Oryctolagus cuniculus: one gene and its partners. The protein of the gene in region 2 binds, or shares a complex with, the protein of the main gene of each other region. Links are inferred from orthologs where the notes say so. Each region holds a gene or a part of one and is shown on either strand. Other genes may lie near its edges. The genes, in order: SNIP1, CWC27 and CRIPT.

What was found.
Region 1: CWC27 (region 2) and SNIP1 share a complex: the UniProt entries of both Homo sapiens proteins name them as parts of the minor spliceosome. The link is inferred for Oryctolagus cuniculus from reciprocal best matches to the Homo sapiens genes CWC27 and SNIP1.
Region 3: CWC27 (region 2) and CRIPT share a complex: the UniProt entries of both Homo sapiens proteins name them as parts of the minor spliceosome. The link is inferred for Oryctolagus cuniculus from reciprocal best matches to the Homo sapiens genes CWC27 and CRIPT.

What each region holds. Positions count from the first base shown.
Region 1 is NC_091438.1:135,212,926-135,216,674, reverse strand, and holds the start of SNIP1 (smad nuclear-interacting protein 1), read right to left. Parts: upstream 2,376-3,749; 5' UTR 2,285-2,375; coding exon 2,061-2,284; intron 1,002-2,060; coding exon 899-1,001; intron 1-898. Other genes in the region: DNALI1 (axonemal dynein light intermediate polypeptide 1), read left to right, coding at 3,091-3,204, 3,591-3,736. UniProt on the Homo sapiens protein: Required for pre-mRNA splicing as component of the spliceosome. As a component of the minor spliceosome, involved in the splicing of U12-type introns in pre-mRNAs. Down-regulates NF-kappa-B signaling by competing with RELA for CREBBP/EP300 binding.
Region 2 is NC_091445.1:85,773,947-85,777,595, forward strand, and holds part of CWC27 (spliceosome-associated protein CWC27 homolog), read left to right. Parts: intron 1-1,133; coding exon 1,134-1,246; intron 1,247-3,459; coding exon 3,460-3,603; coding exon of another isoform or gene 3,604-3,607; intron 3,608-3,649. UniProt on the Homo sapiens protein: As part of the spliceosome, plays a role in pre-mRNA splicing. Probable inactive PPIase with no peptidyl-prolyl cis-trans isomerase activity. As a component of the minor spliceosome, involved in the splicing of U12-type introns in pre-mRNAs.
Region 3 is NC_091433.1:156,146,814-156,150,492, forward strand, and holds the start of CRIPT (cysteine-rich PDZ-binding protein), read right to left. Parts: upstream 2,846-3,679; 5' UTR 2,709-2,845; coding exon 2,693-2,708; intron 1,005-2,692; coding exon 939-1,004; intron 286-938; coding exon 231-285; intron 1-230. UniProt on the Homo sapiens protein: As a component of the minor spliceosome, involved in the splicing of U12-type introns in pre-mRNAs. Involved in the cytoskeletal anchoring of DLG4 in excitatory synapses.

The DNA of each region.
Region 1 (3,749 bases), on a different chromosome or scaffold from region 2:
ACTAATACTACAGATACCACTCAAGAAGAAGGAATGAACTGATCAATGCAACAACCTACATGCCAAAGAACTTTGCTGAGTGAAAAAAGCCAGTCCCAAAGGTTACATGGTGTGTGATGCCGCTTATGTAACTTTTTTTTTTTTTTGACAGGCAGAGTGGACAGTAAGAGAGACAGAGAGAAAGGTCTTCTTTTGCCGTTGGTTCACCCTCTAATGGCCGCTACACCGCGCTGATCCGAAAGCAGGAACCAGGTGCTTCTCCTGGTCTCCCATGCGGGTGCAGGGCCCAAGCACTTGGGCCATCCTCCACTGCACTCCCGGGCCACAGCAGAGAGCTGGCCTGGAAGAGGGGCAACCAGGACAGAATCCGGGGCCCTGACCGGGACTAGAACCCGGTGTACCGAGTGCCGCAGGCGGAGGATTAGCCAAGTGAGCCGTGACGCCGGCCTGTAACATTCTTGACACATGACAAAATTAAGCCAACAGATTAAAAGTTGCCAGGACTTATGGAAGGGAGAAGGTGGGAAAGAAGTGGGTGTGCTATAACAGGACAACATGCCATGTCCAGGTGGCAGGAAAAACGTTTTGTAACTTATGCCAATATTTTGATTGTGATATTGTGACTACACTTCTGTACCATGCTTCCATTGGGAGAAACACCTGTCTTTATTAAATCTGATCTAAATCAGTAATTATCTCAAAATAAAAAAGCTTAAGAAAACCAGCAGAAATTTACCAACAACCAAAACAAACTCACACACTCAGTTTTCAGAAAAGCCCGCTGCAGGTGTAGGTGCTGTCTCTGTGGGTGTGCTTCTGGCTGGCTGTTTCCCTGGCTGCGGTGGCAGGAAGAGGCGCTGGCCTAAGACCCCACCTCAACACACCCCAGCCCACTTACCTGCTTCACTTTGACTGCCGAGTGGTGAGGACTCCGACTTCTCTTGCTCCGAGGAGACTTGCTTCTTCTCCCCGAGGACTTGTTTTTCTTTTTGGCTGGAGACCTTTCAGGGCATGGTACACACAGGATTTTATCTCAGTTTCCCTTCCCCCACATAAGCTAGCTTCTGGTATGGGGCTTACCTACTAACACAAACACATTTGTGAAAGACTGCTGATCACACCAAAGGAGCCGGGGGGCTTCCCGTTCCTCACCTACTCTCCCGCCTACGCCGCTGCCTCGGAGCCTCGGATCCTCCTCACTCAGGGAACACGGCTCTCCATCCCCTACCCTTTGAAGACTCTCCTGTCCAGGTCTGTCCCTTGGCTGTTCGCCCACCACCATGCAGAAGTCACTCTCATCACCACAATTCACGGGAGGCACCTCCTCCCCGGCCCACCTCATCGCTACCATCCTCCTCCTCCTCCACGATCACGACTTCTAGCTCACGTTCCTTGCACGTTTCCTCGGCGGCCAGATCACTCAGGTCTCTGCTCAAACGGCACCTCTTTCAAAGAGTTCTATCCCCGCTTCCTTCCAGTCTCTCACGATCACCTTACTGGGCCGACCTAGCCCTGAGACCTGTTGCCATCGGAAACTGTTTTGTTTGCATGTTGGCAGTCTTCCTGGGGCTCAAGCTCGTCCAATTTCACGAAAGCCTCACCCGTGTGGCCCAGGTCCCTAGTGCACTCTTTAGTACCCTATAGGCATTCAGTAAAAGTACGCTGAACGATGAACAAACAGTGCACCTAGCAGATCGCTTATACTCGCGTGGGGTGGATAAGGGCGAAGACAACGCCCGCACTCCCTGCGCGGGCAGACGGGGGGAAAATCTTTCAACTTAACGGACGATGAGTGCTAGCCGCTGGGCCACGCGCTCCGCGAAGTGCTGGCGACACACGAAAGAGGGGGCGAGGCCCTGACCCACAGGCATCAGCTCGACCCCAGCTGTCACGCAAGTAACCAGCACCGGAGCACACACGCCTTTACCCGAGCGCGACCCGGCCACTCCCACCGCCTCCCGCTGCTGGGCTCGGCATTCAGAACCCACTTCTGATGCCGGCCCTGTGCTCTTTTCTCAATGAGTCCGACCCAAGGTCCACCCCGGCTGTTCTCTGCTTACCGGCTCTCTCCCCGGGCTCTGCTCCCGCGGTGGCCAGGGCGGCCCGGCTCGCCGGCCGGCGGGGACGGAGTAGCGCCGAGGTCCGGCCGGCGGGGGGCGGGCGGCTCGGCTTCCGGGCTGAGGCGCTCCTGCTTCACCACCACCGCCGCCGCCGCCGCCGCCACGTCCCCCTCCCGGTGCCTCCGCCGGCTCCTCCGCTCCCGCTCGCTCTTCACCTCTTTCATTCTGCGACTCGGGTCGGGCAAAAGAAAAGAGGTCCGTTGAGCCACTCTCTCCGAAGGAAATGACGAGCTTGACCTCTGGACTTCCGCTTCCGGGGTGTGAGCTCTCCCAGCAACCCTCGCGGCGGAGCGCTGAACATGTGACGGCGCCCCCCCCGTGGGCGGGGCTGCAGGGAGCCGGCCCGAAGGGCGGGAGTTTTAAGTTTGGAAAGCAAACTACTGGGGAAAAGCGAACCTCTCAAGTTAATTCTTCACCGCGTAACTACAGAGCATGTGGGCAACCTCAGTGTACAGCTGTAGGGGGCTCCTTAGCCAATCACTGGGCATTACGTAGCTATTAGTAACGTTATCACGAACCATATACCGCTTTGTGGAAAAAGCCCGGACCGACACGGTAGAGGAAGGCGACGAAACTGCGCGCCAACCGTGATTCCATTTGGCCTTGGAAATACAAAAATGCAATCATAGTAGCCCGTGGACAAATCCTGCTATGTCAGTTCGCCATTTAACCTTGAGGAATACTTTTTAAAGCCCTGGGGATTCCAGAGACCCTCTTTTGGGGAATGGTCTCCAGCCCTTCACTGAGGTGACAATCTTGGGGCTCAGCGAAGGGGGATCTACCCAATCACGCAAGTTGCGCGCTATACGCAGCGCAGGGACTCGAACCCCCGTCTCCCGGGCGACCCGGCTGGCAGCAAGATTAAGACGCCGAGTGCCGGGGCCGAGCGCCAGGGCTGCGCGGGACGCGTCCGCGCGCCGCGCCACGCCCACCCGAGGCCCCGCCCCGGCCGGGAGGGGGGGCGGTTTCCATGGTGACCGCAAACCAGGCCCCCATCGCCGCCATGATCCCCCCGGCCGACTCTCTGCTCAAGTACGACACCCCGGTGTTGGTGAGCCGGAACACGGAGAAACGGAGCCCCAAAGTGAGGACGGGCCTCGGGGGACCGGGCCAGGCAGATCCCCGCGGCGAGAGTCCGGAGTCCGGGGACGGGCCCTGGGACGGGCGGAGAGGGAGCGAGTGGTCCGGGTGGTCCAGATGTCGCTGGGTGTGAGCGCCGCAGGTTAGACCTGGTCGCGGGGAGACAGACGGTAGGGATTCCTCTCCCGGTAGTCGGGTTCAAGGACAGGTCAGGTCGCGATGTCCCCACCGCTACAGGTGGGAGCGCAGACGCCTGACCGCTTCCTCCAGAAACACTGGTCCGCGCATTGCGTTGGGACCAGGGACTCTTCACGGGCTGGGGGTAGGGGAGGGGGTGCGCAAGACCCGGAGGCGTCCAGGGGGCTGAAGGCCTGAATCGTCTCTTCCCAGGCTCGGCCACTGAAAGCCAGCCCCCAGCAGCCGGGACCCTCCAGTCCAATCCCACAGATAACCAAGACCAAGCTCCCCTCAACTTCCTGTGTCCCAGATCCTACAAAGCAGGCAGAAGAAATTTTGAATGCCATTCTGCCCCCAAGGTAAAGCGTGGGC
Region 2 (3,649 bases):
ATATGAACTCTCGTATTCAGTCAAACTCGAGTTCTTGCTCCCCACCAAATTCTTTGCTTCACTGAGATGCCATGCTTTCTGCCATATCCAAGTTAACTTCTTTCTTCTCTATCAAGACTTCCTAATGATTCTAGAGTCCAGATACTCATACTACAGGAGATCATATATAACCTATCCTGTATGTTTATGACTTCTAAATTGTATATTTATATATAAATGTAAATAATTTCATTAATTTAGCAAACAGATTTGTAGTCTAATTGGACTCACATATATATTATGTTAATTATTTACCTTGTTTAGTAAAAGTTTCTTGTGGAGAGTGCATTGATGGTGGTAGACCTACAATCTGAATAATTTTGATATATTGTGTGTTTGTTTGTTGTTTGCATATTAATGAATTAATTCTCCACGGAGTGAAGAAAAGAAGTAGGAAATAAGAAAAGCAGGAAACTGGATCAGCAACAAAGTAGCCAGGGCTCAAACTGGCACTCCCATAAGAGGTTCAGACACCCCACACAGTGGCTGAACCTACTGCACCATAATGCCTGCCTCTCTGATATTTCTAACAATTTCTTTTATAACTATTTTCTTAAATTCAGGATTCAATAAAATATCACAGATTTCATTTGCTTGATATGTCCCTAGTTGTTGTTGTTGTTTTAAATATTTATTTATTTATTTGAGAGGCAGAGTAACAGAGAGGGAGAGGCAGAGAGAGAGAGAAGTCTTCCATCTGCTCATTCACTCCCCAGTTGGCTACAGCTGCTGGAGCTGGGCTCATCCCAAGCCAGGAGCCAGGAGCTTCTTCCAGGTCTCCCACATGGGTGCAGGGGCCCAAGGACTTGGGCCGTCTTCTACTGCTTTCCCAGGCCATAGCAGAGAGCTGGATTGGAAGTGGAGCAGTCGGGACTTGAACTGGTGCCCATATGGGATACCGACACTGCAGACGGCAGCTTTACCTGCTATGGCACAGTGCCAGCCCTGATATTTTTTAAGAAATAGGAAAAATAAAGTATTGGTTTGGGAGCTGAAGAAAACCAATCTTGGATCAAGTTGTATATTAGCTCTGACAATGGTAGATGGGCTTGATTTTAGATATTGCTAAATTATTTTTGGTTTTTTTTTTTCAGCTTATTATGACAACACCATTTTTCATAGAGTTGTACCTGGTTTTATAGTTCAAGGAGGAGATCCTACTGGCACAGGGACTGGTGGAGAGTCTATCTATGGAGCCCCATTCAAGGCAAGTGAGCTTGGAATGCTTACTCAAAAACGATGTGTCCCTTAAGAAAAAAAATTCCAAAAAGAAATGTTAGTATGCAAAATCAATGTCTGTCACATATTTAAGATTACACAGCATAAGAACAACACTTTTCCCATCAAGCATTCTTTGTAAGTTGTCTTAATGTAAGATTTTATACTAGAATTAATTCAGGGGGAACTCAAGGAGGTAGTGAAAAAGACATGGTTCAGAATAAAGATAGAGTATTTCCTGATGTCTGTCTGTATTGAATATCTGCAGCTCTGTAAATGAAAGCATTTTTTAAACACTGCATATGCTATTCTACTTTAAGTTTTATGTAAACAGTATCTGGAATCTGTAGTAGACTGCTCATCCTGCTATCACCAAATACCAGGCTGGATGGCTTCAACAGTAGGGTTTGTTTCTCATGGTTCTGAGGCTGAGAAGATCAAGCAGTGGTTCGCGGTCAGGTCTGTTTTTCTGGCTTGCAGATGACTGCCTTCTCTGACATCCTCACAGTGGAGAAGGGAAAGAGAAGTCTGGAATCCCTTATTTTTATAAGGACGCAAGCATTATTGGACTAGGGGCCCATCCTTATGACATTGTTTTAACCTTTATTACCTCCTCACGGACCAAAATATAAGTGACATTGTGGGCTAGGAGCTCAGTGTATGAATTTGGGGGTTACACAATTCAGCTCACAGAAGAATATATTCTAAATCATGCACAATAGATCTCGCGGCACAAAATGCACACCACAATTGAAAAATCACAACAGGAAAAGCAACATAAAAAGTGTTAGAAAAAGATACATTAGGAATAGGTCAGTGATTTCTTAACTACCAACAAATCTTAGAAGAACAATGAGGTAATGTCATAGTTAAGATAGAAAGAACTGTGTGTTCAAGTGAAAACTAAAATTTGTGTTCATTATTAACTGCTGGTACCTGTATCATGTTCTTTGAATGAATGAACATCAAAAGCTCTTAGAATTTAGAAGTTTTTGAAAACTTCATATTTCTGTTAATGGGGTAGAATGTCTGGAGTTTCCTTTCTTCTCTGAGTTACTGTGTGAGTCTTCAGAAAAATACTTTATGAATTGTTTGCTTTAATTTCCAGATGATAATGGCCTTAGGAAATAGGAAATGATTATGAAAAAATTTAGATGTCAAGTTAGCCTATTTATATTTACCAAAGTAAAATGACTCATAGTTTTAGAGCCTCTGTCTAGTAGGAAGCATTCCTTTATTCTAGTATTTGGTGTAACAGAATAGCTTTTTTTACAATTCCTTTCTGATTAATTTTTTGCTTTTTTATTTTCATATACTACAATTATTTTGTTAAATTTTTATGTTAGGTAATTTAAAATACAGTATATAGAGTAATGATTCATTGAATTCAGATCTCTTTGAGAATTAACTTATTAAGGAAAAATAACTTCATTTATGACAAGCAGTGATTACATTCATGGCTACATTATACATAATGCAAAATCAGGTCTGGATGGAAATTCTGTGTACTCAATCTTAGCCAAAAGGCCTAGAACCATTGGATATTCTGTAAACAAAGTGGCTTATGTATGTGTTAAGTAACCCTATCATGCAAGATAACCATCTTAGAAAGGCTTGCTCCTGCCCTTTCGGAAACTAGCAGATTGGACCAATGCCAGTTCAGAGAAGATTCAGCTTAGGGCTTCAGTGAAGTCACAGTGAAATCATTTAACATAATCAGAATAAATTCCTTTAATTAAAAAATGAGAAGAAAGCAATTGTTTTACGACATTTATAATGAGATGATGACTATTACCTGAAGACTCTGCAATGACTCAACATTGTTTTCTTGAAGAAAAAAAAGATTTTAAAAGCTTGGATGGTTTTGAGGGATAATAATAGGGAAGTGAATCTTAGAAATCTACTCCCAAATGAATACCCTTCCCCTGCATGTTAGTAGACAGCTTTCCACAAAATATGCTGATCTGTGGCTGAGTATGTCTAGAATATACTTATAGGTTAGTGATTTCTAGTTTAAGTGCATTAAAAGTATAAATATTAGACTTGATTACACTTAAAAGTCAGTTAAATTAAACTTATCATTTTTGTTAGTATTTTGAGATTTTGTTAGTATTTTGAGATCTTACTGGTCAGGTAAATAATCAATTGAATTTGAAATATCTTATAACTGAGAACATTCTCTAAATATTTTTTGTACCTCAGGATGAATTTCACTCTCGGTTGCGTTTTAATAGGAGAGGACTGGTTGCCATGGCAAATGCTGGTCCTCATGATAATGGCAGTCAATTTTTCTTTACTTTGGGTCGAGCAGATGAACTTAATAATAAACACACCATCTTTGGAAAGGTTAGTGTCTACTTATCTTAAATTTACAGTTTGGTCTTTGGTTTTA
Region 3 (3,679 bases), on a different chromosome or scaffold from region 2:
AGTTCATGTCTTCTGGTCCAATTATAGAGACCGTGGCACTGGTATCTCCAGAGGCTGACACAGTGAGAAGGAACAGTGCTAACCAGCAGGTTACACCAGATCCCTGGCTCCCTCTGCCAGGACCTCTCATGCTTTGAGCACAATGCAATGATGAACAGTAAATTCACTCCCGCATGCTTAGTCTCAGGAGTGGGAACTTACACGACGGCTCCACAGAGGCTCTTACCCACCTTGCTTTTTTTGAAGTCAAAGCTTTATTTTCATTCAGCTTTCTTCCACCACTTTCTGTATCAAAATATTTCAGTAAGTTATTTCTACATACTTAACATCACACCTACTAATTCAGTTAGAAGTTCATCCTTTGACCTCCCACCATTAGAATAGCCTATATCAAAATTTTTAAATTCTCGTGAAATAGCTAAGTTTTTGAGATGCTACTTAGAAAATATTAGGGAAACAATGACGTTTATGTGAGATGCAGTTTTCTTACTCAGACAGCAAGCAGTACTTTAGGGGTGAGTCTACATTTACTCCATCCACTATAAAATCTAGAAGTTACTACTTTGGTGTCACAGACTCTGAGTCCAGTTCAACTTTCGTTTCCTTCCTGGTGAAAACAGCTTAAGTAATTTTTTTTTTATAAAGAAGATAAAAACTAGGTGAGGAGAGGAGAAATTAAATTCGGACTCTACACTATGACACACTCATCACTTGAAAATATTTAGTAGGTTTGCTATCTCCTGCTTACTATGTTAGGAACCTGTGCATGTAACTGGGAGAACTAGAGAGAAGGCATTAAATCACTGGGGGACCCCGTATATTCTTTATAGACAAGATACTCTGAGAATACAACATCTCACTTTACAAATAAATGTAAAAATATATTATTCACAGGTGGTATTTAATTCAATTTCTGTTTTCCAAAAGAAAAAAAATACCTGTGGTATTTCTTGCACCATCCTTCCATGTATCCGGAGTGATAACAGTGCCAAGTTTCTTTTCACCTGTTGTGATAAAATAGTAAAAGGGGCATTATAACTTGCTAGTTAATAAATACACCACATGGTGCCAAGGCTCCCAATGCCATCAACAGTCATATTACAGTGGGAGCCTGTTAATGCTGGGGTAGAGGCTAGTGAACTGAGATTCAAGATTTTTTTTAAAAAAATTTTATTTTATTTGTTTGAAATGCAGGTTGGGGAGGCAGGTGGTTTCCCATTCACTGGTTGGGAGTGGAACTGGGACTCACATCCAAGGATGCAAAACCCAGACACTCTAATCTGGGATACAAGCATCCCAAGTGACAGACTAACACAAATTACATGGGAGGCCAAAGTTAGAGATTTAAGAACCACACCTAAGAGATGAGACATTTGGGCCAGCACATAATATAAAGATATTTAATTCAAACTTACTCAAATACACACACAAGTCCAAAAACCACTGCAAGTACAAGATGAAGCAGAGTTACAGACAGTCAGTGTCAAGTAAGATCATGCACTTTCTGAAGGGATGGACAGGTCAGCCTATGATCACACTGCACAACTCTGAATATACTGAAAACCAGTGAATTGTACACTTAAAGTGCATGAATTGCATGGCATGTGAATTACGTCTTAATGGTTATTTTCTTAAAGCTTAATGTAAGGCAACAATGGTATGTGGTGTAGTATCCAGAAGGAGGGAGGCATTAGTTGCACTCTGGCCCACATATGGAGCAGAGTTTAATTCTGTGTCACGCAGTAGTGAGTTATGACAGAGGACACACTAGGGACCTTTGTACCAGGCATTACCTATGTCATTTCATGTAATTCTCAAAAAAACCCAAGGCTTATGTTGCGTTCTCATTTTCAGATGGGAAATCTGGGAACACCACGCAGCTTTGCCATGGGTCTGTGTGTCCAGACTGTATCCATCTACCACGGGGATGCCCACAGGTCATGTTCATTAGACCATAATCAGGATTAAGAGGAGTGGAACTCTTGTCACAGAAGAGCCAGAGGGAGAGGATTTGGGAACTTGACAGCTGCTTTTAAACACATAAACAGCTTGGTAGGTCCACAGGGTGTATTTTCTACAAATCTTAAGAGTTTGAATTAAAAACACTGGGTGGCAACCACAGAGGAAAATACTTTCCTCAAGCCAGCAATGCCTCCTTGCAGAGACTTCTTCGTAGGTCGTGGGGGTCTCCAGCCTCCCCCACCCAGATACTGTTTCTTTCATAGGATGGGATGCATTCAGAATAAGCAACGAAGCCAATTTAGTAAGGCACGTCCTAAATAACCGAATGGGGCATACTTACAGCACTAAAAAAAAGTATTCGTTGTTTATCTTAAATTAAAATTCAATTGGAGGTCTGGAATTGCTAGATCTCGCAACTCCACACGCTACAGAAATGACTTTTAAGGTCCATTTTAAGCCTGACGGAGGCGGTCGAGAAGCCGTAACTGATGAGGCGAGAGCCAGAAGGCGGCGACGGCAATGGGCAAAAAGGTGCAGAACTAAGGCCATTCTGATGACAAAATATACGGGATTACACAGTCGATGAGGGGCAGGAAGGGTCACAGGGCAAGGGTGGGAGAACACAGGCTAGACTTAGAGACCTGTGGGAAAAGGAAAAACCAAGTTCCCAGGAGAGTCCGAGTAAGTTCTCCCAGCCTCCTCTCCCCACACAAGCGGCCCCTTAACTCACATTTTTCGCACACCATCTTTCCGCCGACGATTCGCCCTCCTCGCCCCAGAATCAGCCGCAGCTTGAAAACATCAACACTACAGCCTGGGAAGAATTTTCCTTCCGGGCTACGTCAATCTACTTCCGGCCCCTAATCCTCCGCTCCCGCCAATCCTACGCCTGGAAAGCCGCGGGAGGCATGAACGCCAGCGGGTAGGCGGGGCTGCCTCGTTTGTCCGCCCATCCCCTTCTGCGATTGGCTGTGCGACCGTGGGTCTCCGCCCCGCGCGCTTGCGCCTGCGCGTGGGCTGGGGCAGCCCGTTGTGCCTTGATGGTGGGAGGCAGTAGTTCCCTTTCCCTTCGCGGGCGGGAGAGTTAGGTAAGCCCCGTTGGCTGCGTTCTCCTCTGGGAGGTGTGGAAGGCGCCTCCGCCAACTGCCCGAGTGGTCGCGAGCTTGCGCGCCCCCGCCGGCCCTCGGAGGGCCTCCTTCCGCGTGACCCAGGGGCTCCCCTGCTGGACCGCTCCTCTTTCTCAGGCGCGTTCCTGCCCGCGTCCCTCAGCTTTCGCCGGCTGACGGGCCGAGCCCCAGTGACCCGGTGTGGGGTGGGGCTGCGGATGAAGTCCGCGACCCGGGCGGCGGCTGCCCCGGGAGGGCTCGCCGGCGCCCTGCTGGCCGGCGTGGGCGGGCCGAGATCGCCGGCGCCGTGGCGGTGGCCCCGCGAAGGCGCGCCCGGCAGGTGTCCTCGTGGGCCCGCCGAGAAGGGCAGGCGCTTCACCTGCCCGGGTTCCTTCGTTCTTTGAGCAGGCGCTGGAGTGTGGCTTCTGCTGCTGGGATTCCGAGGGTGGCCCAGAGAAAGTAAGGGGGATCTGTTGAGAGAATGGATTTCTGTTCCCCCTACCCGACCCGCAGGCAGCTGAGAGTCTGAGAAACTTTGTCCCTGCTTGTCGCCCGTTCTCTACCGGATCCCTCGTGTGTCCCTTTATGTCTGTAGCGCTGGGGAGCTTGGA